7 linked regions of the Callithrix jacchus genome follow. The protein of the gene in region 7 purifies or fractionates together with the protein of the main gene of each other region. This does not show direct contact. Links are inferred from orthologs where the notes say so. Each region holds a gene or a part of one and is shown on either strand. Other genes may lie near its edges. The genes, in order: SNAI1, FASN, GMPS, ANXA2, IFI16, ELAVL1 and TRIM21.

Region 1 (4,298 bases), on a different chromosome or scaffold from region 7:
ACAAAGGCCACCGAGGGGGGCACCGTACATGCGATACCCCCGGATTAAAGGGGCCTGCCATGCACTGGGCCAGCAGCTGCGACTGGAACAGGTGCTGGGCACCGCTGCCCCATGCACCTGCTCTGCTCCTCCCAGCCCCCACCCACTGGGCCCACCATTAAGGCACACAATGGGAGTCAATGAGGACAGCAGTGATACATTTCTGTGTCCCAGCCGTGCCTTTACATTAAAATAATGCCGGATTGGGGGCAAGGGAGGGGGGACAGCAGAGCAGCACCCTGAGGGGTTCAACGCTCCCAAAATAGAGCCCTGTGAGCTAGGCAGGCACCCAGAAGGCCAGGCAGTTGGACCTTTACATGTTAAAATCAGGGCTAAGGGTGCACAAAGGAAGAGAAATGGGTAGCCTTAGTTGAGTAAGATGCCAATAAAGCCTGCAAAAGGCCAGGCCTTCCAGACACCGCACTGACCCTCACCACTCCGAGGTCAGGTGCTGGGTCAGGAAATGGCAGAACCTGCCCGGGGTGAACCCCTGGAATCTCCTCTCTCAACCGTCACTCTCCAGAGCAGCTCTGGGCATGGTGGTCACCACCATTCAAGTTCTAAAAAGTTCTACCTTTTCTCCACGTCCAGAAAGTTTCCTACGCATTTAGTAAATTTTCAAGACACCAAGACATGATTGCGCTGTCTGCCCCAAAGATGCCTTTCCTGGTCTGCCAGATAGGACTGAGTGGGGGTGGGGAAGCAGACCAGAGAACCACCAGGTATGATAAATTACTGCAAAGTGATTAGCATAAAGTGATTATCAACCTTCACAGTCACTCTCTAAAACTTACCTATCATAATCCTCCCCTGAGGCTCAGAGAGGTTAAGTTGCTTGCCCAAAGTCACACAGCAGGGAAGCCGAGCAAACGGCAAGGAAGCATTTTTGTGAGCATTTAGCAGGTACCAGGCACTTTGCCAGGTGCTTCCCATACGCATTCCTGCATTTAGCCTGCATAGAAACCCCATAGGCTGTTCTCATGCCCATCTGAAAGATAGGGAAAATGAGGCTCACAGAAGTGAAACATCAGACCAAGCTTTGAGAAAGTTCTCAAAGCAGGATTCAGAGCCAGGTGGGGGGGGGGTCTGACAACATCCTGTCTGGCTAGGGAGGGGTGGATCAGGAGAGGGTGGGGCCAGGCGGACCCCTTCGCACCTGGCCACCACCACAAGGTGCTGGTGGCACCTTTCCCATATCCAGCTCCTACCCATTTGGCTGAGAAGCTGGCTGCAGGGGATTGGAAAGGTGTCTGCTTTGCCCATCTGCTTAGCTGATGAAGGAACATTTCTGCCAAACGTTTCCAGAGAGCCGGGCCCCTGAACTTGAGTTAGAAGTTAGGAGACTCGGGGCCTCCGTGTCTACAACTTTGAGAATGAGAAAAGTAAGCCCAGATTCACAAAAGCTGGCAGAGAAAGCAGTGGGGCGGGCCAGGAGGGGCACTTACCAGTGTGGGTCCGGACGTGGCCTTGCAGCAGCCAGGGCCTAGAGAAGGCCTTCCCACAGGTGCCACAGACGCAGGGCAGCGTGTGGCTTCGGATGTGCATCTTCAGGGCACCCAGGCTGAGGTATTCCTTGTTGCAGTATTTGCAGTTGAAGGCCTTTCGAGACTGGAGATCCTTGGCCTCAGAGAGCTGGGCCAGCTGCTTGGGCACTTGGACCAAGCCTGGGAAGACAGCATAGGCCTCGGCCTCCAAGGAAGAGGCCGAAGTGGAAGAGAAGGACGAAGAAGCCGGTGAGGGTGGGCTGGGGGGCTGGGAGCCTTTCCCGCTGTCCTCATCTGACAGGGAGGTCAGCTCTGCCGCCCTGGGGCTCTCCTGGGCCCGAAGGGAGGCCCAGGCAGTTGGCTGGGCTTGGGGGGCCAGGACAGAGTCCCAGATGAGCGTTGGCAGCGAGGCCGTGGGGTTGAGGATCTCCGGAGGTGGGATGGCTGCCAGCAGGTGGGCCTGGTCATAGGGCTGCTGGAAAGTAAACTCTGAGGGAGAAAGAGCAGAGTCAGGCGTTAATTAAATCATTCACTCAATCAACAAACTAGAGCCCACCGCTGGCCAGGGGCTGGGTGAGGCTGACTCTCAACACATAATTAGATCAATAAAATTATCCATAGGGCAGACCAAATTCCTGCCCTCCTCGCCCAGGTCACCCAACCTGAGTCTCTCACAGGTAGGACCCCCAGTTGAAGAGGGTCATTTCCAGATCTCGGTCTCCTGAGTCCCAAGTCCCCAGCCTGAAGCCAGAAGCCCATTACCCCAGCCCCCGAGCCACCACTCCACCCCAGTCCCCCTCCTCACACACATCTGGTCTCTCCACCCCTCTCCTCAACACTCTGGACTCCGGACTCTCCCCAGCAGCGTCCGGCGGGCCCTCCTGGCACAGGCCTCCTTCCCCTCGGGAGCTCCTGCGCCTCTCGCAGGCTACAAAGGCCCCCCAAGCGCAAGACCCCTGCCCGCTACACGGCACCCCCCAAACCACTCAGATAGATCCCTGGGACTGGAGACCTACCTGCCCGGTCTCCCGAGCCCGAGCCCTCAATGCTCCACAAAACATCCTGCGAATCGATCCTGGCCCAAGCAGGCCGCCTCCTTCAGGTGCCCCCCACGCAGCCTTCGCCTGTCTCCCCCAAATCTCCTGGAGCCCGGGACCCCTCCAACGCACCTGGATTAGAGTCCTGCAGCTCGCTGTAGTTAGGCTTCCGATTGGGGTCGGAGGGCTTCCTGACAAGAAAAGAGCGCGGCATGGTGGCCAACGCACCGGGGTCGCCGAGTCGCTCAGAAGTAGCGCAGGAGAACCACCGCTTAGGCCGTGCCGCGGCGCAATGAGTGCACCCGCGCCGCCAACTCCCTTAAATACTCCAGGGGGCGGCAGGGGAGGGGTCTTATCTGCCTCGCCCCTTTGTCACCTCAGCACCAATCGGAGGCACGTCTCCGCCGAAGGCCACGCCTCGAGCAGGTGCGCCGGGGGCGGACCCGGCTCGCGCCGCGTGGCGCTGGGAGCCCGGGCGGAGGCTCCTGCAAGGCGGGGTTCGGGAGCGCAGCGCTGGTCGTTCCCAGTGCTGGGGCTGTCCGGGGCGGGACATCGGGCGCATTTAGGCCCCTGCGAGGCGGGACCCCTCGCACCCACCCGCTCAGCGCCCCACGGTCGGAGCGCTTCTGACGCCCCCTGGCGCTGCGCGCGGGCCGGGACACCTGACCTTCCGAAGCCCGCCCCCGCCTCGGGCTTGGGAGGGGGCGGAAATTTCCTCCGCCCGGCTGGCGCCTGGAGAGCGTGGCATTGAGGAGGGAAATGCATATTGCTGGGGAGGATGCGAGGAAACGGACACTACACGTGGCTCTTGGCAGCATGAAATGCCATGGCTTTTTTGCAAAGCAGCCTAGCGAAGTGCGCCCGTTCCTTCCCTTAGCCAGTGTTTACGGAGCGTCCAGCACGTGTGGGGCACTGTACCTGGGGCCGGGGCACAGCCCTGGACAGGACACTCAGAGCCTCTCTCGAAGTTTAGCTACCCGTCCAATGGGGGAGACAGCTGAAGTAAACAGACAATTACAATGCAAAGGGAAGTGTGCTTTGGTGGGGGAGAGACGGGACGCGGCGACCGTTAAGAGGCGGGTCACCTGACAGGGGGTCGGGGTGACTGCCCAGAGGAAGTGAAGAATTATCAAGGGGAAAGGCCCGAGGGAAGAACTGGCAACTGCTTCCGAGTAACTCCTGGAGAGCAGCTCCCAGGGATGGGGTGGGGTGGGCAGGCCCGGAGGGGTCAGATGTGAGGAATCTGGACTTTGCCTCAAGGGCACTGGGGAGCCACCGAAGGATTTTCAGCTGAGGAGGTACCTGGTTAGAGTTTCCTTGAAAAAGATCCCCGTAGGCCGGCAAAGAGTTGGGATGAGGCCGGTGTGTCTCCTGAGCCCTTTGAAGATCCCCATCCTGTCTACAGGCTCTCACGGCTCCTAAGGGACCCTGACTGAATGTATGTGTGGTGGGCCCAGGTGAGGAGCAGCTGCACCCCTACCCCAGCTTCCCTGGAGGCATGCCAGGCCCAGGGGTGGTGCTGAAATAAACCCCACAGGTCTCGCCATGCCTGTTTCCATCTGTGAAGGAAGACCATGAACACCTTTACGCACCCTCCCCCCAACCAACAACAACTCGAAGGGCAGGACTATTGTCTGTTTTGGTCACTCGGTGCCAGGTGTAACAGCAGTGAGCACAACCATCCTCCCCTGGTTCTAGTTGGAGAGTGGGAGTAGGGTGGGGGAGACAGGCAACAAGT
Region 2 (4,289 bases), on a different chromosome or scaffold from region 7:
GTTCCCCTTCAGTGGCCCGGGCCTGATCCCTCAAAGCAGGACATGCAGCCAGGGACACCTGTGGCCTCGCAAGGCCCGCTTGTCCCCATGGGGTGCTTGGCCCTGCAGGCGCGAGGCGGCCAGGAAAGGGAGGGCGCGCTTCAGGGTTCAGACCGCCGAGCCGGCAACCATCGGTGGTGTGGAATCACTCGGGGGAGGGAGGGCGCGAGGGCCGGGCTGAGCCCCCACCCGTGGGTACGCGCCTGGAAAACTCGAAGCCTCCGCCTAGCGAAGCCGGGCAGCGGCTCCCTTTGTTCGCATCACACCAGGTGGGTGTCCCGGCCGACAGCGCCCGCCACGTGGCCGCGCCCCACCCCTCCAGTGCGCTCCGGCAGCCTGGGGTGCGCTCGCCCATTCGGCCCCGCGGCTCGACCCCGTACCCGGGAGGCTGCCGAGAAGGGGCCGTCGGGTGAGTGGGCGTCCGTCTGGGTTTTCCGCCGGGCTCCGCAAGGAGAACCGGGGAGGCGCGGCGATGACCGGCAGTAACCCCGCTCGGGGCGCCCTCGGCCGGGGTCAACGACCGCGCCGCGCAGCACACTGGGCTGCCCCGCCGCCCGCCCATCACCCTATCGCCTAGCAACGCCCACCCGCGCGCCGCCATTGGGCCGGCGCGAACGCCCCCGGCGCCCGATTGGTCGCTGCGGCCGCCGTACCACGCCCGCGGGCAGCGTCGGCGGCTCGTAGCAGGGCGGCAGAGCTGCGGGCACGCGGGCATGTCCTTCCGTCTGTCCGCGCCTGTGGGCCCGAGCACCCCCTGAACCCCTCGCCGGGGCGGCCGCGGCGCAGTCCCCAGTGTGGTCCAAGTATTCCCATCCCGTACACGTGGTCCCGGCGGAGACCAGGCTCGGGGGCGCGCCGCGAACTCGGTCCAAACCGCGTGCGCGTCTGGGCCCGCGGGGCGGGGAGCGGAAGTCGGGGGGCGGGGTTTACCCGCGCGCTCGGCCCCCAGCGCGCCCCAGGACCGGCCCCTCCCCCTGCGCGTTGTCGCGCAGGGTCCCGGCTCGGGCGGCGGCGCGCACGGGCATCACCCCACCGGCGGCGGCGCGCTGGGTCCCGGGGCGCAGCCCCGACGCTCATTGGCCTGGGCGGCGCAGCCAAGCTGTCAGCCCATGTGGCGTGGCCGCCCAGGGATGGCCGCGGTTTAAATAGCGTCGGCGCCGGCCTAGAGGGAGCCAGAGAGACGGCAGCGGCCCGGCCTCCCGCTCCGCTGCGCTCCAGCCTCGCTCTCCGCCGCCCGCACCGCCGCCCGCGCCCTCACCAGGTACGAGCAGCCGGCGCGGGTCGTGGTCCGGGCAGGGGCCGGCGGGGTCACGGGGCAGCCGGCGCTGCATCCTCCGGTCTCAGGGCGCGCGTGGCCTGTCCCGCCCGCATCCAAGGGTCGCCTGCGCGGCCTGCCCGGGTCTCGGTGTCTGAGCCGCTTCGGAGGCGCCCGCAGCCCCACGAAGCAGGTGGGCGGATGGCGCGGGGGAAGGACGCCGGGGAGCGCCGCCAGCAGCCACGTTCGCTTCCCGGGCGGGAGGCCGCGGACCCTGGAGGCTCTGGAGGAGCTCCCGGCCCGGCTTCCCCGCGCCCACAAAGGCGCCGGGCCCTGCGCGCCGCATCCTCCTCTAGGGGCCGCCTCATAGCCGAGGCCCAGCACGACGGGGACGCCGCGAGGGAGGAAAGTGGTGGGCGCGGGTCCGCGCGGAGATCGGCCTCCGGATCACGTGGCGCCGCCGGGCCGAAGAGCAGGAGTTGCAAGCAGCCCCCACCCCGGGCAAAGGGAGGCCGGGCGCGCCACGGGGTCCCCACCCCCTTCCTGACCGTCGACTCTGCGTGAATCGCAAACTGCGAGAACCCAGCGTGCGGGCCTAGAGCCGGCGCCAGCCTCTGAATCGCGGTGTGGGGGGAAGGCGGCCACCTCCCTGCCGGAACGGCCCGGGCACTCCGCAGCTTGAGGGAGGCTGCAGTGCCTAGAGGCGGCGTGTGCATCCAGTCCCGGGGCCTCGTGCAAGTGGCCAGGCCGGCCCTCTCCCCGCGGGCTGCACCAGCCCCATGCTGGATCCACAGCCGGCAGCCTGGGCCCGGGTTCGAGGTCTTAGGGACCTGGGCCCCAGGGAGGGCCTGCTGCTGTCTGGGTCAGTATGGGGAGGCAAGCAAATGTCCGCGGGTTCACCTACACAGGTGAGGGGTGCCGGGGAACACCATCCTGGCCAGGAGCGGTTCTCCAGGTTAGATCCTGCTCTAGGGGTTGGACAGGCTAGGTTGGTCCTCAGTGGGGCAGGGGCCATCTTTCCCCCAGAGCACAAGCCTATCTCTACTTCGTCTCTGGTGACTCCTGGGCTGGCCTGGACATTGGGCCTCCACTCCAATGTAGGTGGACATGGGTGCTGAGTACCCCCTCTAGGATTCCCTGCCACCTCCATGAGCCCTCTGGTCCCTTTTCCAGCCCTGGCTTTGGGACCCTGCCTCAGGCTGGCCACCTGGGACCTCGTCCTCATCTGGGGTGGCCCTGCGTGCTCCTCACTGTGAGCCCCTGGGCACCCCTAGAGATGGCCCCAGACAAGCTGCAGGAGCCTTTGAGGGCTAAGGCTCGGTTGAGGGGAAGCCAGCACAGGCGCAAAAACCTCAGACTGCAGTGGAGGTCAGGGCAGCAGGGCCACAGTGGGGTCCCCAGGCCAATATCCCATACTGAATGGGTCAGGGCCCAGAGGTGGGCCTGTTCCCAGAGCATGCAGCCCCTCGCAGTGACAGTGGGGCCAGGGCTTGCACAGATCCTCAGGCTGGCTCACCCTATGGGTGGCCACCCGTTCAGTGAGCTGAGGCTGCTGACGGGTGTCTCAGCCAGAACACCTGGGACACTCACACCTCCGCCCTACAGAGCAACCATGGAGGAGGTGGTGATCGCCGGGATGTCCGGGAAGTTGCCAGAGTCGGAGAACCTGCAGGAGTTCTGGGACAACCTCATTGGCGGTGTGGATATGGTCACGGACGATGACCGGCGCTGGAAGGCGGGTGCGTGGCTGCGGGGCTCCCTGTGGCCGGGGTGGGTCAGCTCCACCTTCGCCGTCACACCGGCCTCCCTGCTGTGCTGTGTCCCCACCACCCAGGCACTGGCCTGAGCCTGGTCCCAGCTGCAGAGCCACTGGTCACCCCTGGGCGAGGCCAAGCTACAGCCTCCTTCCTGGAGACCGCACCAGAGTGGCCTAGAAAATGGGCCCAGCCAGCCAGGAGGCTCCCCCAACAGCTGCAAGGCCCAGGGCCGAGCCAGGCAGGGCCCATGTGCCTGTTACAGAGAAGTCAAGCTCAGAGGATGGGTGATGGGTTGGGGTCTCTTGACAAGGGGGCAGAGCCCTTCCAGCCAGGCTTCCCCCCCGCCTGTGTCCTGAGCTGGCAGGTTGCATACCAGGTGCGCTCTGGGAGGCTGATCCAACTCCCCCACGCCCAGTAGGCTCTTCCACAGAGCAGCTCTACCTGACGGGTGAGCTGTGAGTCAGCATGGTGGAGCTGAGGCATGGGCCGGGCAGAGGGTCCCCCAGCCTCACTCCCACCGAGCTCTCTCTGCTCTGGGGCCCATCTCAGGGTTGGGCCTGGGGTCTTGCACAGGAGACCTCAATGTACCAGTTTTGTGGCCACAGTCCTCCCCTCCTGGGGAGCCTGTTCCATTGCTTGGGCCTCCCTGGTGTAGCAGAGACTCCTTAATTCCCTGCAGCACCCCACAGGGTCCCCACCTCCTGGCAGCTTCAGTCAGAGAGTTAAACATCTGCCTGTCCCATAGGGCTCTATGGCCTGCCCCGGCGGTCTGGCAAGCTGAAGGACCTGTCTAGGTTCGATGCCTCCTTCTTTGGGGTCCACCCCAAGCAGGCACACACGATGGACCCGCAGCTGCGGCTGCTGCTGGAAGTCACCTACGAGGCCATCGTGGACGGAGGTGGGTTGGCATTGGTGATGCTGTGCCCAGGGTTTCTGCTGCCACGTAGAACAGGCAGTGCTCTCTTCTTGGTGCTGGTAGAACTGGGTGCCGGCACCACTTGCCTTCCCTGGCCATGTCCCTGGCCTGGCCAACGGGCTCTGGGAGGTGTAGGTCCCTGGGTAGGCCGAGGTTTCACAACTGCACCCCAGAGATGTCAAGGGTGTGTCCAGACCTGGGTGTACCAGTTTCCTTACTCTTGCTGTCTGGCTGGTGCTGGGGCCTTGGCCCGGACTGGAGTGACAAGAGACAGGGCAGAAGGTTCTCCAGAGGCCCTCTGGGCCCCCACCCCCTCCAGCAA
Region 3 (4,346 bases), on a different chromosome or scaffold from region 7:
TTACTCATATAACCAAATGACACCTGTTCCCCAATAACATAAGGAAATAAAAATTTAAATAAAGAAACAAAATGCTGGACAGGCACAGTGGCTCACTCCTCTAATCCTAGCACTTTGGGACGATGAAGAGGGACGACAGCTTGAGCCCAGGAGTTCCAGACCAGCCTGAGCAACGTAGCAAGACTTGTCTCTCAAAAAGTAAAAATTAGCAGGGTGGGGTGACCCATGCCTGTAGTCCCAGCTACTCAGGAGGCTAAAGAGGTCAAGGCAGCAATGAGCTGTGATCACACCACTGCACTCCAGTTTGGGTGACAGGGCAAGACCCTGCCTCAAAAAATATATATAAATTAAAAATTAAATAAAATACTATGTATAAAAAGTAATTAAAATAACCCAAATGCTTTTATGGCTTTTAGGTCCCTCTCTAGTTTCTATCATGCAAAAATGCCATTTTAGAAAATCCTGGTAACTGAAATGTACCAGAAAGAGGAATCAAAACCAGCTCTTGTCCAACTTTTAATTTATGAACTAGGATACACACAGCAAAGGCCCAATCAATGTACAAAGTAATCCTATATATAGCACTTACACTTTCCTCCCAAGGGAAAGGTGGTTCAGTTGTAGGCTATGGAAAATAAGACTCCTACTTATTTCCAGGTGGACCTCTTAGAAATATGCAAAATAAAGTAGGTGATATAAGGTATTTCCACATATGTAATATCTCTTTACTTAAAATGTTGAGATCAATGGCATGTCATCGTTTGTCATGATTTTTTTCTTCGAGAGTACATACAATAATCATAGACTTGATGAAGTATGTTAATTCTCCAGATGTTCCTCTTAAAAATGCTTCAATTCAGTCTACAACTGTTAACATAGTTTTTAAAATATTTAATTATGTTATAAAACATAAAGAACCTTGAAATAAAATTAATTCACCAAACTAATAAGATTATCTTTGTAATTCCAAGTCTAGCAAAACACACAAAAAAATATCAGTTATGGGGAAAAAAATCCTCTTATATACTCTGGAAACAGATCTTACACTTTCCTCTGCCACTTAGTTTTGTGAAAATACTCCTCTCAAATGCACTATGTAGTTTTCAAAACCCATAAGTCAGGTGAGTCCTTCTAATACCAGTTATTTCCTTTATCAGCATAAAGATGAATCCAATGAGTTGTAAATCTCAAAACCAGACAGAAAAATGCTTTGCAAGTCAACTAGTATATAGGAAAGAGCTGGACAAAGAGGTTTACATTTGCTCCTGAGGTCAGAAACAGAAGGTTTGTGTGTCTTCTTTAGTTTTATAAACCTCAGAAAGAGCTCCCGGACCTAAGCAACACTGGTGCCTTGGTTTAAGAGTTAAAATCAGCTACCTTATAATCTTGACTCATTTGTTCAACAAATACTTTTTGAAAGATTACTGGGTGCTAAGCAGCCATTCAAGAGGACCTCTAAGATGGGACCCTTGAGCACCTCCTTTTAAAAAGAATGTTAAAATTCTGCCTAAGTCACTACTCCCTGAGGTCGAGCACCAAATCCCACTCGAAGTATATATTCCCACCCACCCGAATGAAATTTAATTAAATTTTTTCCTAAAGCTAGGCCCTAAACAGCATATAGGCGGGGGTATATCTTGCTGAAGTAAATCGCAATTCAAAACTGCGCGGTTTCCCGCTGGCAAAACTGACTTAGCAAAGGTCGGAAAGAACTCCAGGCCAATGAAAATTTTAATACAGAAGTGAAAGCGAAGGTGCCCAATTCAGAAGCGGGACGAAAGAAAGAGGAAGGGTCTAAGAAAAAAGTGAGTTGGAGACGAGGATATGCGCAGAAGCGGCCAAACGCGCTCTCCTCGCTGGGTACGTCAAGGTGGCAACTTTTCCAGCATCCCGGAACTCCCGACTGTCCAGCCCTCGGGCGAACAGGCACGGCTCGCGTTCCGGAGGTGGGGGGGACCCCAAAGGCGGGGAAGAGAGTTATCCCGCAAACCAGCAAGCTACACAGGGACCGAGCTGGACGGGGGCGGGACCTGGACACATTCTTTCCCTCCGAGGATGGGGGAGGGGGAACGGAGTGCGCGACCCCGGGGCCACCAGCCCACACGCGAGCCTGCAGGGACATAGGGGGAGGGGGAAAACGGTGCAGCCCCGCGGGGCTAGTCTAGAACCGGCCTAACCGCCGCGGAGCCCAAGGCCGGCGGGGGGAATGGAGCGGGCCTCGCCGAGGGCAGGCGGGAAACAGGGTGGCGGGAAGACCAGAGGATCGCCCAGCTAGAACGCCGCACTGGAGGCCCCGAACCTGCCCTGCCTTCGGCGGGCCCCGGGATAGCCACAACAGGCCCCTAGCCTCCCAAAGGGACGGGCTGGGAGCCGAGGAAGCCCCCGCCCGACCCGCAGACACACAAGCCCGCTCGCCTCCCTACCCCCACCCTCGGGCCGCGCTCGCGGGCTCTTGCGCCCCACAGCTGCGCGGGGAAGGCAGGGGCCAGCGGGGCGGCCGCGGGGAGCCGATGCCCTCCCCGACGCCCGGACCTCGACCCGCAGACATAATCAACAAAGCACCGCCGCTCCCGAGGAGAAAAAATGCCACAGGCCCCGACCAGGGACTCTCCGACGCGTGGCTGCCCGGGCCGCAGGGCTGCGCGGACGGGCTGGGGGGAGGGGGTGGGGAAGGGCCCCGCTAGGTGGCTCCCGGGTCCGGGAGCCTCGCCTCCGCAGGGAAGCGGTGCGGCAGGGACCCCCACGCTGACCTTGGAGTCTCCGTTGCACAGAGCCATCGGGGCCAGGGCCGGGGCCGCGGCGGTGGCGGCGACAGTACGAGACGGGGCGGGAGGGTCCCGGAAGGGTCGGCGCCGCGGGCCGAGGCTGAGAGGGACGACTGGTCAAGGAGCAGCCAGCCACGGAGAGGAGCCAGCCGCCAGAGAAGCGCCGAAAGGAGCAGCAGCCACAGAGCGCGGGCCCCAGCGCAGCGGGAGAGGAGACCAGCAGCGCGCACGCTGCCCCCGCCTCTTGCTTCCGCCCCAGCCGGCCACTGGGAGGAGCCAGAGCCCGTTGAGCTTGGCAGCCGAGCCTCAGATACCCTCCGCAGCCGCCGCCAAACCGGCCGGCCCTCGAGAGGAGGGGCTCGCGGCGGCTGTCCCCGCCCTCCAGGCCCGCCCCCGCCGGCAAAGCCGGCCGGGTCTCCCGCGGCCCGCCCTTGGGAGGAGGGGCCCGCGACACCAGGCCCAGCCCCCGCCACGGAGGCCTGCCCGTGGAGAAGTAACACGGAGGCCGGCGCCCGCCTCCGTCCCGTCCGCCCTTGGGAGGAGGAGACCGCGCGGCGCCCATCGGCTCCGCCCCTCCCGCCTTCGCACCGAGGAGCCCGCCCCGGGAGGCGGGGCCTCCCGGCGCCGGCCCGGAGAAAAACCGAAGCCGCAGCCAAGCCAGTTTGCCGCTGGCCGATTTGCCTGCTGCCTGGGACGGCTACGGGAGGCTGGCGGCACCGAGGAGGCCTCCTGAGAGCTGGGCCCCTGGCGGAACTCTTAGCCGGTGGCGTGGCCTTAGGTTGTCGGACATGAGGGAGGCCAAGGCTGCTTTGGAAGGTTTCTTGGCCACATCTTAAGGACGTCATTGGAGGACCTGATCACTTAGGAACTTTAAAAGTTATACAGCTCCCCACAAAAAGTTCTACAGCAGGTGCAGTACTTCCAAAGAGAAGGGAGTTTGGGAGTGGACATCTGGTGAGCAGCTGGGTCAGGAAATTGGTCATGAAGCTCTGTTGGCACAGCGGTGTTTTTATTGGGATTGTCTGTGGGAAAGGGGCTGCAATCCCTCCACCTACCCCTTGGCAACCATCAAGATGAGGTGTTACCTTGAATTTGCTTACCTACAGGCCTAAATCGGTATTGGTGTATAAAGAATAATACTTGAGATGGCTTCCAGCTAACAAAGCCTTTCCACAAATATTATAATACAGCCAACATTTGCTGCGGTCATTCTTGTGTCAGACTCTAGTTAAGGTATTAAGGAGCCAGTGAGAAAACACTTTCGCTATCTTTAACCAATCCCGTGAAAGCAGTAAGGTAGGATTGATATTCTTATCCTTTTTACAAATGAGGAAATTGAAGCTCAGTAAGATAATGTGCCTCTCAGTATAGAAGGGAAGGGCTCCCCAAACTGGGAAGGAGTAGACAGTTTATTAGTAAAATATTTACAAAAACAAAAGACCCAAGGTCCTAGTGGGCCTGAGACTCAAGTATTTCTCTTACCTTTTTTTGAACTGAAAATGGAATTTTGAAATTTTCAAAGCCATGGATACTGGCCTCTCTAGGTTGGTCTGTATGCACAATCTTAACGAAGAGTGTAGA
Region 4 (3,786 bases), on a different chromosome or scaffold from region 7:
TGAGCCTGTAAGAGTGACAAGTGGAGACAGGACCTCATTCTGGCAGACTCAACTCCAACATGGACATCCACCCGGCCACCCCAGAGCCCCAAGGCACCGAGACCCCCTCAGCACAGTGCCCACCTTTCTGGAGGTGGCACACGCTCCGCTCGGTCATGATGCTGATCCACTTGGGAACATCAGTTCCTTTCCTCTTCACTCCAGCATCATAGAGATCCTACAAGTACAAACAACCAGGAAAAGTTAACTATGCGATCCAGCATAAGATCATAAAAATTGTCATGCAAAAAAACCAGAAAAGCTGCACGCTCATAATGCCCAATGGGGAAGAATAATTATACTACACACGTGGGCACAGACGTACTATGTAGACATACTTAGTCACAAGCAGTCTTCCTTAGGCACACATGGATACAAAGGAGACTGCAAATAGTTCGTGAGGTCTGTGATTAGTCTCCTCCCTTGAATAAGAAAGGAAGGACCAAGAGCTTTTACTCACATACAGAAAGACAAGTTGATGTTAATTAGCACATCTGGCCCTCCTCCCTTTGGGCACATTTAAGGGCAGATAAGCTAGTCAGCGTTTACTGGATAGCTACGGCCAGGCTCCCATTCCCAAGCTTCTCAGAGACTCAGGGAGTGATGGAGCTGGAAAAGGAGCCTGTCCCACCTCATTTTCAGTTTCTGGAAAATTAAGGCGCTAGTCCTTAGCAATGGCAGGAAGGGCAAGAGGAAGAAAGGCTTATGCAAGGGCAGGTATTCATTCCGTGACCTTCCACCATCTGGGAACTGCAAAATCCAACTTCTATTTTATTTAAAAGCCTTCTCTACTACCTTCTAGAAGCGTTGTGTGGAATATACTGAATTTAAAACTAACAAGAATTTAAATTAATTGTTTTTCTGCAGCTTTTATGACTTACTGAGGTAACTGTTGACCCTTGAGTAACAAATACAGTTCACAGCAGTCTGAATAAGCTTAACAAATAGTTCTCAGAGATTATCGAACTAGAACTGGCAAAAGTTTTATTCAGCCAGAAAAGGACAGGTCTCTGCTGGCCTCCTTTATCCCCCCACCACAATGAGCTGTAGGCCGTCCTGTCCCTGGCTGTGTCTTCTCCACCTTCTTCTGCTTCCCACCCGCCTGCCTGATAAGTGTGCACAGCCACATCACACTCTGCAGAGACTGGTGCTTCCATACAAGCAAAGCCTGAATGAGCATGTGCGAGTCAGGTATTGACTCCATAAGTAATGCCAGCATTCTAAGAGAGTATCTTCTGATAAGCATTGCTCTCAGACTACAGTGGGTTTAAAAGATGGCCAGAAATTCTTTGACATTCCTCCCTTCCAGAGGAGGAGCCTAATCCCCTCCCAGTGAGCGTGGGCTAGACTCCATGACTCACTTTTAATGAAGAGTATGACAGCAGTACAGGGTGGGACACCTGAGATTAGGTCATAAAAGATGCTGTGGCTTCCTCTTTGCTTTCTCTCATATTCCTTGCTCTGGGGAGAGCTGGCTGCCATGTTGTGAGGATGCTCAAGCAACCCCGTGGAGAGGCGTATGTGGAGTGAATCAAAGGTCTCCTACCAAACAGTCACGTGAGTGCACAGTCTTGGAAGCAGTCCTCCCTTTCTCCCCAACCACAATGAAGCAGTAAGCCGTCCAGTCCCTGGCTGTGTCTTCTCCACCTTCTTCTGCTTCCCACCTGCCTGCCTGATTGGTGTGCACAGCCACATCACACTCTGCAGAAACTGGTGACAGTAGTGCAGGGTGGGACTTGTGACACTAGGTCATAAAAGATGCTGTGGCTTCCTCTTTGCTCTCTCGCAGATTGCCTGCTCTGGGGAGAGCCGGCTGCCATGTTGTGAGGATGCTCAAGAGACCCTGAGCCAGAACCAGTGCACTAAGCCACTCCTCAATTCCTGACACACAGAAACTGAGAAATAATACATGTTTGTTGTTTTAAATCACAGAGTTTGGAAATCATTTGTTATACAGGGTTAAATTACTATACAGACTATCCAGAGACTTACAAGAAAACAGAAACTTAAATCAAAAAGCTCAGCACTTACCCGGGCATCTTGGTCAATCAGTTCATAATCAATGACAGATCCATCCTCTGCTCTTCTGCCCTATGAGGAGGGGAGAAAAGCACTTCCAATCCATTTCTTTGTGTATTTTAAAACTGAAAATGTTCTCTCCCTAGTCCATGTAAGCCATGACTTAATTTTCTAAATAAGTATCCACCTAAGACTTTTCTTACTTTGAAACCCAGACCAGCCAAGGATGGTAAAATCATTGAGCAAGGAAGTGGATGCTGTGCCTTCCATCAACAACCCCCTCCTTGGTACCCAGTCCTGGCCTACACACCTTATAGAATCCCTTTCCCCATCCCCCACAAAAAGCTGATGAGATTTAGCCCTTTCCTTCAGCAAGCTTGCAATGCAGACGGAAGGATAAGCGGAAACAAATGTACAGCAGCCAGGGAACCTAAAGCACTAGGAAGACATGAAATCCAGGAGGAGGAAGAACTCTCAGAGAGGAGAGTCAGCAAACGGTGTGAAGCATGGGGCTGGGCTGAAGCTGAAACTTCAAGAGTCAGTCAGATGCAGCCAGCCAAGAGGAGAGAGAGAGCCAGACTGCCCACGAGGGCCAGCACGGATGCAGCAGAGCACGCTCCCAGGTAAGTAAGGAGCTGCCCTGTCAGAGCAGAGCTGAGCAGCAGAGAATCCTAGCAGAGAAGATGCAGGGAGGGTATAGCGGACTTTTCCCAGCAGTTAAGAGTTTACAATGGCTGCAGCAGAAATGGGTTTGAACAGGGAAGTAACGTGGTAAAAGCGTATTTCACAGAGATCCGTGAACGGCGGTACACGGGGAGGTGGGAGGGAAGAGAGGAGAGCCAGGGAGAGCAGCACAGGAGCTGTCGCAGTAACGGATACATGAGTGGGCCAGAGACGGCATATCGCCTGTCATTTGTCTTCAGGGTTCCCAGAGAAAACAGTCTCTCGTCCCTCCCCTGGCACATAAGCATTAAGTGACACACCAGTCAGAATTAGGGATTCACCGGGGAAGCGCCCTTTCCTCCATGTTAATGTGTTAACCTTAGCAACTGGCTGAACAAAGACAACTTCACTCCAGGCAAAGGACTACGTGGGCAAATTCTCCCTTGAGAAGTGAACGCAAGAAAAAGAAACAAGAAGGTCACTTCCCACTGGGTCCTGCATGACCACAGAGAGAGGCAAAGTGACCTTCCCTAAGTCACGCGGCCAAGGCTCTGGCATGTAAATCCAGGCCAGGACTTGAGAGCTGCCCAGCCCTCCTCTTGCTCCCAAAGTCCACTTGTCCATGAGGTTTAGCAGGATAAGAAATCCTATTATACAAAATTGACAACTCCGCAGTGACAGTGCGAGCCCACTGTCGAAAATGCAGCTGAATTTCTGATGCAGGCACAGGGGATTTAGTTAATTCACTCCAAGTCTAAAATGAGGTGTGTGACTTGCCTTGGGAGGAGGCAAGGACAAAGAACGAAACTGGGAAACCAACCTTCGCCAGGGCAACCATCAGCTTGCGGAAGTCGCCAGATGTATCCGAAATAATGTCCTTCTCCAGATCAGTCTTGTACACTTGGAGAAAAATACATCTGGTTTTATGCTTTCTGCCTGTGAAGCCAACCACCCACCCCAATTTCCCATTTCCCACTAAGTCTCTGAAAAGCAGAACAGCTATGTCAGCTGAATACATCCATTCTCCCTAACCTCCAACGGACAAAGGATTCACTAGAATGATTT
Region 5 (3,786 bases), on a different chromosome or scaffold from region 7:
AGGCCCAGCTGGGAGCCAGCCCCAGACTCCTCCGATGTCTGCATCAACACCATGCAGCAGTTTCTTTACCACGGTACCACTTCCTCTTCTCAGTACTTCCCCCCGTACACTACAGTGACGGAGATTAACAGAACCTTGAGAGCACTTCTCACCATTCCCCTGCTACATACAATGCTTTATTTAACCAAATCAGTCATTTATTCATCAAGTATGTATTTTGAGGTCCTATCTAAAATTAAAGTTCTCTTATTATCTTCTCTATTCCATAGCAGGTATAATTAGATGTTTGTGTACTTTTCTTTTTCTTTCTTTTTTTTTTGAGACGGAGTTTCGCTCGTTACCCAGGCTGGAGTGCAATGGCGCGATCTCGGCTCACCGCAACCTCCGCCTCCTGGGTTCAGGCAATTCTCCTGCCTCAGCCTCCTGAGTAGCTGGGATTACAGGCACGTGCCACCATGCCCAGCTAATTTTTTGTATTTTTAGTAGAGACGGGGTTTCACCATCTTGACCAGGATGGTCTTGATTTCTTGACCTTGTGATCCACCCGCCTCGGCCTCCCAAAGTGCTGGGATTACAGGTGTGAGCCACCGCGCCCGGCCCAGTTTTATTTTTCTTTTGGCTTACATTTTTACTTTTCTCTCAGTACACCATGAAAATAATACCTTAAAATAGAATAAGGTGGGAAAAAAAACAGAGCCAACGTTAACACTATCACTGATTCTTTGATTTATTATAACTCAAATAATATCATCTTTAAAAATTTATGAAAAGAGGCTACATAAGCAAAAATAATTAACTTTTAACTTTCAGAAACCTCTGTGCCACATTTCAGTACGTAGTCTTTCTGATTTTACATCTTTCATTATGTATATACAAAGAGTACTTTCCTCTCTCAGAGTAAATTACATTACACATATTTTTCTATAACTCTGGTTTTTTATTAATATATCTTGAACTTCTATTCAATCATACAATATAGATTTAAATTATTTTATTGTACCAGAAAAAGTGCATGGTTATTCCATACATTATAAGAATGGTCCTATATTACTTGGCTTTAGGTGGCTTTCAGTATTCTGTGTCTTTAAAATGGACATAATAAGAGCACGTGTCTCTTGGGTCTTTTTTCACTGCCCTCAGAGTAGCTTTATAATTTATTCCCTAGGTTCTGTGCACCTTGTGCCGGGGCATTGATCTCATGGCTACTGTGAGGAGATTTGACACTGATTTTCCTTGGGAATAGTTTCCTAATGCTGTAGAAAATTGGCCACATTGATGAGTTCATCAAAGTTAAAGCCATCACTCACAGGTGGCCGATACCATCTTCCAGGTCAGGTCACATTGAGCACTGCTGGTCTGTGGAGGCAGCTGTCCTGCCTCCATGTTCCGCTCTCTAGGACTCCCTTGATCCCTTCTTGCCTCCATACTTCCTCTTCCAGATCAGCAGCCCACCCTCAACTCTTGGGGTCGGGTGCACAGCTCCTTTCTCTCTCCTGTTGTTCCCTGACACCTGCTCTTTCACTTGTACTCATGCAGGTAGGAGTGAATATCTCATTTCACGGTCCCAATTAAAGAGAGAGGCATGACTCAAAGGTCAGGAATTGATTAAAGGAGATAGATGAGAGTGAGAAAAGAATTATTTTGAAAGGAATAGGGGAAGAGATATGGTGCATGGGGAGGAGACACTGTGATTGAAGGCAGAGATGTAGGATCACCAGCATCTCAACTGCTCTGTATCTCTTTTTCCTTCAAGGTCATAAAGAGGGAAAACAAGAAAGAGGCACTCAATCCTGATTCATATATGAAAACTTCGTCAAAGTCCTTCTTCTAAAATCTGGATGCCGTTGATAATAATGCTTATGGAGATAAGATCTAAGTGCCTACAAAATGTATATCTACCTGGTTGAAATACAACACTAGATATGCCGCTGTTATACATACCAGCTATTAATTTTTAGAGATGGGGTATTGGGAGTGCTTTTTTAATTCTTTAGGGTTTTGTATATAAGGCCATATTTTGCATCTACAACTTTTATAATTTGAACAAAACAAATAAACGTTACCTTTCTTTGTGAAAGGAATTCTTCCCCGGCAGTCTCTTTAATCCATCCATGAGTTGCTGAAAAGCAAATAGTTTGTGGTCTACAAATCTGGGTGCAGCACCCGGGCCTCTAGCTATATTTGGATTTGTACTTTGGGTGTGATCTTTACAGGATAGGCCCTAGTCAAGAATGAACAGGCTATGTTCTGCTGAGAGGAATCAGGCTGAAGGGGTAGGTAAGGGTGAAATCCAGCCTGGGGTTCGGTTGCTAAGCACTGTTATTGTTTCAGCCCAAAGCAGTAGATATCTTTTCAGAATTGGTTTCCTTGAAGGGGCATAATTGGGTAATTTTTCTGCCAAATGAGGCGCCTTCTGCTGATGTGCATGAAGGCACTTGTCTGTGTTAGAGATGTATCTGGGCCTGCCTGATGTGAAATATCTGGTTTTATTTGCTTCCTCAAACACCAACTGCTCTTCAGGCATGTTGGAACCATATTTCCTGTTTTCACAATGCACTATAGTGATCGGATCCATTAGAAAGCTGCCCCAGGCAGAACTGCATTAGGCAAACAGTGAAGATAATTGATTTTCTTTAGAATAGACTAGCTGAAAGTAGGCATCTCAAACTAGAATTTAGCCAAGTTTCTTGATTATATATTTGGTACCTGATACTTTGCGATTATTTTGTGGCACTTTATCTTCATATTAGCTCTAGAAGTTTGATCATTTTTTCCCTTTTACTCACCCTATAATATGTGACAAAGAATAGAAAGGCAAAGTCACTTTCGTAATGACACTTAGTAAATTAGAGAGATTGATTTAGAACCCAGGCTGCTGTTCCCGTTTGGGGTGTGCGTGTTGGGTGACGTGTGGGGGATGTGGTGGAAGCTGTGAGGGATGGAATGGGGACGTCTACTACTGTCCTAGGGCTTTTCTTTAGTTCAGCTAAACATGGGCGTCCTTAGCACACGGCTATGAAAAATTAGGCTCGCAGACAATCTGAAGAGTGAGAAGGGCAGAGTTTACTGGGTGAAAAGGGAAAAAAGGAAACTCTGCAAAGCCAGCCCTGCTGGTGCGCTTGGCTTCCTGCCTTGCAGTTTTAATTTCAGGTTCCACCCAGGAAGCGGAAGGGCCAGGCTCTTCCCCACTGCAAATGACGCAAACTTCTGTGGCTCCAACCCAGTGCACAGTCCTCCCGGTGTGCAGGCTGGAGTTTCTATGGGGACCCCTTCCCACCTGGCGGTGTCATTGCCCCCTCTAAGAAGTGTGCATCTAACTGCCATTAGAATAAGGACAAGGATAAGGACGAAGACCGATCTTAACTGCTTTCTGCTGACAGGGGGCGCCGTTTTGGGGAAAACAGCAAAGTCTCTCAGAGGCCTATTTAAGGGCTCCCGGCGGAGGGGGCCATTGTCTTCCTCTCCAGTTGCATGACTGTTTGGAGTCTGATGGCCTGAAGATGAGAAGAGACCAATCGTGTTATTAGAAAACATGTATCAAAACGAAACAAGGGGAGGGGTAAGAACAGTTCAAAAATCCCAAGGCCTTTGATCAGTTTGTACAAAGAGAGGGAGGCCAAAAGCCTGACTGGTAAAAAACAAAAACAAAAAACTTTATCCTATGCCAGCATGTGGGGCTTCTGGGTTCCCTTCCCCTGAACCCAATCCTAAACTGACCAGTTTAAAGTTTGGGAAATTGACTCTTTCCAGTTTGGAGGATGCATCTGAAGGGCGTGTCCCCATAGT
Region 6 (4,471 bases), on a different chromosome or scaffold from region 7:
TTTATGTTTTAAGCCACCAAAGAGGTCAAGAAAACGTGTCTTTTTTCTGCCCAAAGACTTTAAACCAGAAAGGACACATGAGATGTGCATTTACAGAAGAAAACTCCTGCAGGAGTGTAGAAAGAGGGAAGAGATGGGAAGCAGAGAGTGAGAGAGGCAAGAAAGCACGAGGAGGCCAGTGTTTTCATAATTCTCTCATTTCTTTTACTTGAAATAGCATTAAGGGCTGGGCATGGTGGCTCACGCCTGTAATCCCAGCACTTTGGGAGGCCAAGGTGGGTGGATCACCTGAGGTCAGGAGTTCGAGACCAGCCTGCCCAACATGGTGAAACCCCATCTCTACTAAAAATACAAAAAGTTAGTCAGGCATGGTGGCGGGCGCCTGTAATCCCAGCTCCTCAGGAGGCTGAGGCAGGAGAATTGCTCGAACCCAGGAGGCAGAGGTTGCAAATGCAGTGAGCCCAGATGGCGCCACTGCACTCCAGCCTGGGTGACAAGAGTGAAACTCCATCTCAAAAAAAATAAAAAGAAAAAGAAATAGCACCATGATCTCAGACTCAATACATCCGAACTGAAACTCTGCCTGCTCAAAACCAATGTGTCAACATGAACAGTATTATTTCCTTCCACATTTGGAGACGTTCATATATCTCAGACTCTTTGTGGGCTTTGAAGTTGCAAAATTTCATAATACATCCCAGCACAGAACTTTGCATACAGAAGGTATTCGATGACAACTGAGTGGTGTGCCCTGGAGCCTTGAGATTTTAGGAGCAGCACAACCCGGTAGTTACGAATAAGGGTTTTTAATCAAAGGGCCCTGGCTCAGCCACGTTAGTGCATGAGACTGGTCATATCAAGCAACCCATCTAAGCCTCAGTTTCTTCATCTCTAAAATGGAAATTAATGGAAATTGTAACATCACCTGCCTCAAGGACTGGAGACGAACGTCCACAAAGTGTCAAGCACATAGTAAATCCTCAATAAAAACTGGTGGTTATGTGTAACATTTATTCAGTGCCTACCAGGCACAGACCACGGCAATGCAACGGGTTTCTCACACCCTTCAATGTGCACCACACTTTTGTCCTTCCCATTTTACAGACAAGAAAACTAAGAGGCAACAGAGTCGCGCATGTTTGAGGTCTTGGAAACATCTTCCAGGGGGCCCGTAATTCCAGCTACTCGGGAGGTTGAGGCAGGAGAATCGCCTCAGATTGGGGCTACAGGAACTTCTGCAGGAAGGTTATTTAGTTCAGTGATGGTTCTCACCTGTGTGTGTGCGCGAGCGCGGAGGAGACCGCGACCACCCGCCCCCCCATCCCCCCATCCCCCCCCCCCCCCGCCACACACACCCCCCACGTAACTCCGGACATCTGGCACTGTTTGGAGATATTGTTGATCCTCACGATTTGGGGGATGGGGATACTGCTGGCATCTAGTGGGTAGAGGCCAGAAATACTGCTCAACTTCCTAAATTGCACAGGGAAGCCCCCCCACCACACACAACCAAAAACTATCTGACCCCAAACATCAGTAGCACCAACGTTAAGAAACCTCTGCCTAGCCAGATCGTTCTCCTGATCTTCCTACTTCTGGAGCACTGGCCATCCGGATCCCAGATGAACACTTTCTAGCAAGGGGGCTCAGTCCCGCCGCGGGAAGCCCGTGTAGAAGTTGAGCAGAAGTTCTCCTTCTCAACCTGCCCTGCACACAGCAGGGACCAAAACCCATTTTAACAAGCCCCGCAACCCAGAGCACCGGAAAAGGAAGAAAGAGCATCCATCCTCCATTGTTCAACTCCGGGCAGCTTGTATCTCCAAGACACACACATATTTCACAAATCCTAACGTCCCACGCCCCACAAACAGCTTTGTTAGAGATGGCGCTCAAAAAAAAAAAAAAAATAGATGCAGTTTAGATCCCCACCCCCCCGGACTCCCAGTGTGCCTACTGAAGGGTTGCATGCTTCTCAAAGGACCTCGCACCGGCCACGGTGCTCTGACAACGACCACAAAAGAATCTGTGGGATTTCCCGGGGGAGCGAGCCCGTGGGCCTTGACCTCCGCGCGCTCAAAGCGCTCCCCGCGCTCCCCCGCCGCTGGCCTCACTCTTCCGCCCCCGGAGCCCGGGCTTCCAAGACGACCGGGGCCCCGGCGGTGCAGCCCGGCCCCCTGGCGCGTGCCCACGCCGTGTCCCCCTGGCCCGTCCCTCGAGGTGCCCGAGGAATCCAGCCCCGGGGCCTGTGGCCGGCGCCCACATCGGTCCGCCCCGGCCTGACTGCCACGGTCCCCATGCGCGTCCCCTCCCTCGGTCCGGCGCGGCCTGGGCCTCAGTCGGTGCAGGCCCGCGGGCGCCCAGCGGCCAGGCCAGGCGAGCTCAGGCCTGCCGCGGCCTACCCCGTCGGGCGCCGCCGAAGGCTCCCCACCGCCTCACCTGGACGCGGGCGGGCTGGCCCGGGGCTGCTCCGGGGCGGGCGGGCGGCGGCGGCGGCGCGGCGCTAACGGCTCCGCTCGGCCTCGGTAGCGGTGGCGGCGGTGGCGGAGACGGCGACGGCGACGGCGGCAGCGGCTCCTCCTCAGCGCGCACGACCCGCTCCGGCCCGCGGCCCGGACACGCCCCCCCGGCGCGCGCGCCCATTGGTCGGCATCCGCCATGGCGTGCTGCTCATTGGTCAGCGTAGCTGTCGCGGCGCCCCCAGGCGAGCGGGGGAGGCGGGACTTCCGGTCGGCGCCGCCTGCGAAGGACTCCGCAACCGGCGGAGACGCGGGCGGCCAGCTATGGCCGCGGAGGGGGCGAGCTGGGGTCTGGACCTTGGAGGCTGACAGAAGGCGGTGACTGAGAGGCGCCTCTAGTCGAGCGCTCGCCGTGTGTTCCGCACCTACCTTTACTGCCGCCGCCTCCCATGAAGGTAGGAACGGTCAGCACGCCGAGGTTACGGGGACAGGACCTGTGTTCGAATCCCGGCCCAGATGTTTCTGCACTACGTGCCGTTAAGCAGGTGCTGACGTCATCTCGCCGGGCCTCAGTTTCCTTCTCTGGTGTACTGAGGAGGCGGGGCATGGAACGTGGTCAGCTTCACATTGCTCTTTGAGCAAGCCAGTTTCTGAAAGCTCAGCCTCTTATTCATTAAAATGTCATTGAGCGCCTACTGTGTGTCAGTCACTGTATGGGCAGTGAGCAGAAAAAAAAAATACCTGGCCTTATTGGGCTAACATTCTAAGCCAGCGCTGGCTTTAGTAGAAATAGATGCAAGATACATGTCTAATTTTTTTTATAGAGATGAGGTCTGGCTCTGTTGCCCAGGCTGGTCTTGAACTCCTAGGCTCAAGTGATTCTCCTGCCTCTGCCTCCCAAAGAGCTAGGATTACAGGTGTAACTGCACTATGCCTATTTTTTCCTTTTCTTCCACACCACCCTTTTTTTTTTTTTTTGAGACAGGATCTCACTCTTGCCCAGACTGGAGTGCAATGGTGTGATCATGGCTCGCTGCAGCCTCAACTTCCCTAGCTCAGGCAATCCTCCAACTTCAGCTTCCTGAGTAGCTGTGACTACAGGACATGTCACCATGCCTAGCTAATTTTTTATTTCTTGTAGAGATGAGGTCTTGCTATGTTGCCTAAGCTGGTTTCAAACATCTAGACTTAAGCCATTCTCCTGCTTTAGCCTCCCAAAGTGTTGGGATTACAGGCGTGAGCCATGGTGCTCAGCCTATTTATTTTTTTAATTATATGTTTTTAGAAAAGTTTATTAGAGATTAGGTCTCACTGTGTTGCCCAGGCTGGAGTGCAGTGGTTCTTCACAGGCCCAGTCATCCCACAGGATTAACTCCTGACCTCAACTGATCCTCCTGCCTCAGGCTCCCAAGTAGCTGGGACTATAGGCACAGGCCACCACACCTAGCTCACATGGGTAATTGTTAAATTTTTTTTTTTTTTTAGATGCAGTTTTGCTATTGTTGCCCAGGCTGGAGTGCAGTGGTGCAATCTCAGCTCACTGCAACCTCCGTCTCCCTGGTTCAAGTGATTCTCCCGTCTCTGCCTCCCGAGTAGCTGGCATTACAGGCATGTGCCACCACACCTGGCTAATTTTGTATTTTTGGTAGAGACAGGGCTTCTCCATGCTGGTCAAGCTGGTCTCGAACTCCGGACTTCAGGTGATCCACCTGCCTTGGACTCCCAAAGTGTTGGGATTACAGGAGCGAGCCACCACGCCCGGCCATAATTGTTAAATTTTAAAGTAGCCAGCATTCTGGGTCATCACCGTGCAGTAGAAGTATAAGCCAGCCACAGATTGGTCAGTGAGGTATGTAATTTAAATTGATTAAATTGTTAGCCTTGTTTAAAATGAAAATAAAATAAAAAACAGGTAATGTTAATTGTAATAATGTGTTTTATTTATTTACTTTTTGGCAGAGTCTCGCTCTGTTGCCAAGGCTGGAGTGCAGTGGCGGGTTCTTGGCTCATGAAAA
Region 7 (4,240 bases):
TGGGCAAAGATTTCATTTAAATGTCCCACAAGCATAGGCAACCGAAGCAAAATTGGACAAATAGGATCACATCAAATTGAAAACCTGCTGCACAGCAAAGAAAATAATCCACAAAGTGAAGAGACAACCCACAGAATGGGAGTAAATATTTGCAAACTATCCATTTGACAAGGGATTAATAATCAGAATATGTAAGGAGCTCAAACAACTCTATAGGAAAAAAATGTAATAATCTGGTTCAAAAATGGACAAAAGATCTGAATAGACATTTCTCAAAAGACATACAAATGACAAACAGGCATATGAACAGTTGCTCAACATCACTGATTATCAGTAAAATGCAAATCAAAACTACAATGAGATATCTCACCTCAGTTAAAATGTCTTTTATCCAACAGGCTATAACAAATGCTGGTGAGGGTGTGGAGAAAAGGGAACCCTCATAAGCTGTTGGTGGAAATGTAAATTAGTACGATCACTACAGAGAACAGTTTGGAGGTTCTTCAAAAAACTGAAAATAGAGTTACCATATGATCCAGCAATCCCACTGCTAGGTATATACCCCTAAGAAAGGAAATCACTGTATCAAAGTGATATCTGCACACTCATGTTTATTGCAGTATGTTTCACAATAGCCAAGATTTGGTGGCAACCTAAGTGTCCATCAACAGATACATAGATAAATAAAATGTGGTACATATACAAAATGGAGTACTATTCAGCCATAAAATATGAGATCCTGTCATTTACAACAACATGAATGGAACTGGAGGTCACTACATTAAGTGGAATAAGCCAGGCACAGAAAGACAAACATTGTATGTTCTCATTTGTAGGCGCTAAAAATCAAAACAATTGAACTCATGGAGTTAGATAATAGAAAGATGGTTACCAGAGGCTGGGAAGAATAGTAGGGAGGATGTGTTGGGGGAAAAGTAGGATGGTTAATGGGTACAAAAATGGAGTGAATTAGATCTAGTATTTGATAGCATAACAGGTGGCGATAGTCAATAATTTAATTGTACATTTGAAAGAGTATAATTGCATAGTTTATCACAGATGATCAATGCTTAAGGTGCTAGATGCCCCATTTATCCTGATGTGGTTATTACACATTGTATACTTATATCAAAATATTCCATGTAGCCTATAAATATACCTACTATGTGCCCAGAAAAATTAAAACTAGAGAAAGAAAAACAAAATGATGCAAAGGAAAATAAAAAAATAAAAATGGTGGCTCTGTATACCTGTATCAAAATGTTCCATGTAGCCCATAAATATACCTACTACATGCCCAGAAAAATTAAAACTAAAAAAAGAAAAACAAAATGATGAAACGGAAAATAAAAAAATAAAAATGGTGGCTCACGCCTGTAATCCCAGCACTCTGGGAGGTCGAGGTGGGTGGATCACCTGAGGTCAGGAGTTTGAGACCAGCCTGACCAACATGGTGAAACTCTGTCTCTACTAAAAATACAAAAAATAGTTGGGAGTGGTAGTGGGTGCCTGTAATCCCAGCTACTCAGGAGGCTGAGGCAGGAGAATTGCTTGAACCTGGGAGGTGGAGGTTGCAGTGAGCTGAGTTGGTGCCACTGCACTCCAGCACAGGCAACAGAGGGAGACTCCATCTCCAAAAAAAAAAAAAAAAGGGCATAATATTAATGGAAAAATAATTAATGGCAAAAACAGTATTACTTTTGCATGGACCAAATAGTTTGTTTAATAAGTTTATTCTTCTGAATAACAAGAACTCCTCCACTGTTTGGCCCATTGATCCACTGGGACAGAAGGAGAAACTGAGTCCCTAAAGGAGGGAGTGAAAATTGGCAAGAACCTCATAAAGCTGACAGTTCTCTCATGTCCATTCCTGCTTAAACCCTCAGTGCCCATTCATCTTCTTTCTGGTACCAGCAGGCCTCCATGTTGCTGAGAAACTAGTCATAAAATAGCTACTTTTAACCATGTACCTTCCATGTGCCAGAGATACTACACATGCTTTGAATACATCTTCATTAATCATTCCAATATTGGCAAAAGTCAGGTGTATATGTATGTACATGAGCATGTATATGTGAATGTATTCACACAGAGCAACAGGAACTGTGGCCAGCACTCCCTGGGCTCTTCTTTCAGCTGCTCCAAACTTAGTTTAGTTCCTGACATCACTTCTTCTATGACAAAGAGTAATTTTGAAGGCCTATACATTTCTGGTTGAACATCCTAAGCAGCCTGCCCCTCACCTCTGGAGGACTTTTGGACCTGGGAGTCTCCAGGATTGCAGATCTCCCCCACGCTCCTGGCTAGGCAGTAGTGCTGGCTCTCTCAGCTGCACCCAGCTCTCATCCCAGCTCAGGTGCCAGCAATGGGGCAGCCAGGCCCCTTCTCTTTCTGGGTAACTCCATAGTCACGTCCACACCCCAGCCTCCTCCCAAGTAGGGGGCAGCCGGAACCCTTCCCCTTCTGGGTAACTCCGCAGTCACGTCCCACACCCCAGTCTCCTCCCAAGTGCCCGGAACCCTACCCCTTCTGGGTAACTCCGCAGCAGTCATGTCCATACCCCAGCCTCCTTCCAGGTTAGGAGACCAGCCTCGGAAGCACAGAGGGGCTTGGATTGAGGGATCCCCGGTGGGAGAAGGGGCAAATGGGACCGGCTCAAGGATGGAGACTGGTTGGAAGGGGCTCTGCAGCCCTGGGGCAGGGGAGAGGTCCACTAGGAGGGCAGGGGTTCCTTGATTTAGTGAGGTTCACTCACCTTTACAGGGGACTCAACGCGGGTAGCCAGCTCCCTATTTCACTTTCAGTTTCCGCTCAGAGGCAAGTCTGACGGGAAAGGGGAGGGAGGAGGAGCCGTGAGAGGAGAGAGGGAGGAGCCGTGGGAGGAGCGGAGCCTTGAAAGGGTGTGTGGAGAAATGCCGCTGAGAAGGAAGAGAGGTGGGAGGAGAGAAGTCAGAGTTGGGCTGGCGGGGGGCTTCAGAGGCTCTGGACAGCCAGGGGGCTTCTATGAGACTGGGAAGTAATGGAAGCCCAGTAGCCTGTGGTCCTGGGTGCGCACCCCCTCCCATGTCTTCATTATCTGATTTAGTAAAATATCTGCAAGATGGGGGAGTCCGGGCTGCTTTCTTTGACACTGGTTATCACCCCACACCTAGATGCTTTGCCCATGTCTGGAAGCTGCTTTTAAGGAGGGTTGGATGCAGAGAATAGTGGCTGGTGCTCTCCCTCACGTGCCGTCATCTGTTTCTTACTTCCAGAAGCTAATTCTTTTCATGTGACTGATGTGACTATTATTTTTTTAACATCTGCAGGTGAGTGATTTATTTCGCATGACCCCGAGGTAAGTATCCCACCAGTGAGTGGTGAGAAGGGAATTGACATCTGATAACCAACTATGTTCTTATCACCGAGCTAGGGACATTCTCAGGTTATATTAATTTTTAATCGTTAAATACACAGAATATAAAATTTACCCAAGTAATTTTGTTTTAAATTTTAAATTTTCTGTGTCTGTGGTAGATGTATGTATTTATGGGCTACATGAGATATTTTGATGCACAGGTATAGCATACGGTCTGTAATAATCACATCAGGGTAAGTGGGGGTATCCATCACCTCAAGAATTTATCACTTCTTTGTGTTACAAACAATCCAATTATATGTTTTTTAATTATTTTAAAATGTATGATAAATTGTCTGTAGTCACCCTGTTATGCTATAAAATACTAGATCTTATTCATTCTATCTCATGTATTTTGAACCCATTAATCACCCCCCTACACACTCCTGGCTACCCTTCCCAGCTTTTGGTAACCATCATTCTGCTATCTTCATGAGTTCAATTGTTCTAATTTTTAGCTCCACTTATTAGTGAGAATGTACAATTGGTTGTTTGCCTGTGTTTGGTTTATTTTATTTAACATAATGACCCCTATTTTTCATCCATGTTGTAGCAAATGAAAGGTTCTCCTTTTTATGGCTAATCAGTACTCCATTGTGTATGTGTACCACACTTTCCTTACCCATTTGTCTATTTTTTTTTTAATTTTTTATTGGATTATAGGTTTTGGGGTACATGAGCAGAGCATGCAAGACAGTTGCGTAGGTACACACATGGCAGTGTGCTTTGCTTTCCTTCTCCCCTTCACCCACATTTGGCATTTCTCCCCAGGCTATCCCTCCCCACCTCCCCCTCCCACTGACCCTCCCCTTTCCCCCCCAATAGACCCCAGTGTTTAGTACT

Evidence for each region.
Region 1: the proteins of TRIM21 (region 7) and SNAI1 purify together in Homo sapiens (affinity purification with western blotting; 3 studies listed by BioGRID, with this or other methods). This does not show direct contact. The link is inferred for Callithrix jacchus from reciprocal best matches to the Homo sapiens genes TRIM21 and SNAI1.
Region 2: the proteins of TRIM21 (region 7) and FASN purify together in Homo sapiens (affinity purification with western blotting; 3 studies listed by BioGRID, with this or other methods). This does not show direct contact. The link is inferred for Callithrix jacchus from reciprocal best matches to the Homo sapiens genes TRIM21 and FASN.
Region 3: the proteins of TRIM21 (region 7) and GMPS purify together in Homo sapiens (affinity purification with western blotting; 3 studies listed by BioGRID). This does not show direct contact. The link is inferred for Callithrix jacchus from reciprocal best matches to the Homo sapiens genes TRIM21 and GMPS.
Region 4: the proteins of TRIM21 (region 7) and ANXA2 purify together in Homo sapiens (affinity purification with western blotting; 3 studies listed by BioGRID, with this or other methods). This does not show direct contact. The link is inferred for Callithrix jacchus from reciprocal best matches to the Homo sapiens genes TRIM21 and ANXA2.
Region 5: the proteins of TRIM21 (region 7) and IFI16 purify together in Homo sapiens (affinity purification with western blotting; 3 studies listed by BioGRID, with this or other methods). This does not show direct contact. The link is inferred for Callithrix jacchus from reciprocal best matches to the Homo sapiens genes TRIM21 and IFI16.
Region 6: the proteins of TRIM21 (region 7) and ELAVL1 purify together in Homo sapiens (affinity purification with western blotting; 3 studies listed by BioGRID, with this or other methods). This does not show direct contact. The link is inferred for Callithrix jacchus from reciprocal best matches to the Homo sapiens genes TRIM21 and ELAVL1.

Annotation. Positions count from the first base shown.
Region 1 is NC_133506.1:45,525,122-45,529,419, reverse strand, and holds the start of SNAI1 (zinc finger protein SNAI1), read right to left. Parts: upstream 2,855-4,298; 5' UTR 2,775-2,854; coding exon 2,693-2,774; intron 2,013-2,692; coding exon 1,485-2,012; intron 1,405-1,484; exon of another isoform or gene 834-1,404; intron 1-833. UniProt on the Homo sapiens protein: Involved in induction of the epithelial to mesenchymal transition (EMT), formation and maintenance of embryonic mesoderm, growth arrest, survival and cell migration.
Region 2 is NC_133506.1:137,715,782-137,720,070, reverse strand, and holds the start of FASN (fatty acid synthase), read left to right. Parts: upstream 1-1,207; 5' UTR 1,208-2,073; coding exon 2,074-2,156; exon of another isoform or gene 2,157-2,202; intron 2,203-2,899; coding exon 2,900-3,033; intron 3,034-3,796; coding exon 3,797-3,949; intron 3,950-4,289. UniProt on the Homo sapiens protein: Fatty acid synthetase is a multifunctional enzyme that catalyzes the de novo biosynthesis of long-chain saturated fatty acids starting from acetyl-CoA and malonyl-CoA in the presence of NADPH.
Region 3 is NC_133518.1:29,660,115-29,664,460, forward strand, and holds the start of GMPS (GMP synthase [glutamine-hydrolyzing]), read right to left. Parts: upstream 2,987-4,346; 5' UTR 2,778-2,986; coding exon 2,751-2,777; intron 1-2,750. UniProt on the Homo sapiens protein: Catalyzes the conversion of xanthine monophosphate (XMP) to GMP in the presence of glutamine and ATP through an adenyl-XMP intermediate.
Region 4 is NC_133509.1:7,151,560-7,155,345, forward strand, and holds part of ANXA2 (annexin A2), read right to left. Parts: intron 3,622-3,786; coding exon 3,542-3,621; intron 2,131-3,541; coding exon 2,071-2,130; intron 218-2,070; coding exon 124-217; intron 1-123. UniProt on the Homo sapiens protein: Calcium-regulated membrane-binding protein whose affinity for calcium is greatly enhanced by anionic phospholipids. It binds two calcium ions with high affinity. May be involved in heat-stress response.
Region 5 is NC_133519.1:19,040,172-19,043,957, forward strand, and holds part of IFI16 (gamma-interferon-inducible protein 16), read left to right. Parts: coding exon 1-73; intron 74-1,753; coding exon 1,754-1,831; 3' UTR 1,832-3,786.
Region 6 is NC_133523.1:7,539,474-7,543,944, forward strand, and holds the start of ELAVL1 (ELAV-like protein 1), read right to left. Parts: upstream 2,986-4,471; 5' UTR 2,886-2,985; exon of another isoform or gene 2,717-2,885; intron 2,600-2,716; exon of another isoform or gene 2,437-2,599; intron 1-2,436. UniProt on the Homo sapiens protein: RNA-binding protein that binds to the 3'-UTR region of mRNAs and increases their stability.
Region 7 is NC_133511.1:69,716,651-69,720,890, forward strand, and holds the start of TRIM21 (E3 ubiquitin-protein ligase TRIM21), read right to left. Parts: upstream 2,826-4,240; 5' UTR 2,756-2,825; intron 448-2,755; 5' UTR 371-447; intron 1-370. UniProt on the Homo sapiens protein: E3 ubiquitin-protein ligase whose activity is dependent on E2 enzymes, UBE2D1, UBE2D2, UBE2E1 and UBE2E2.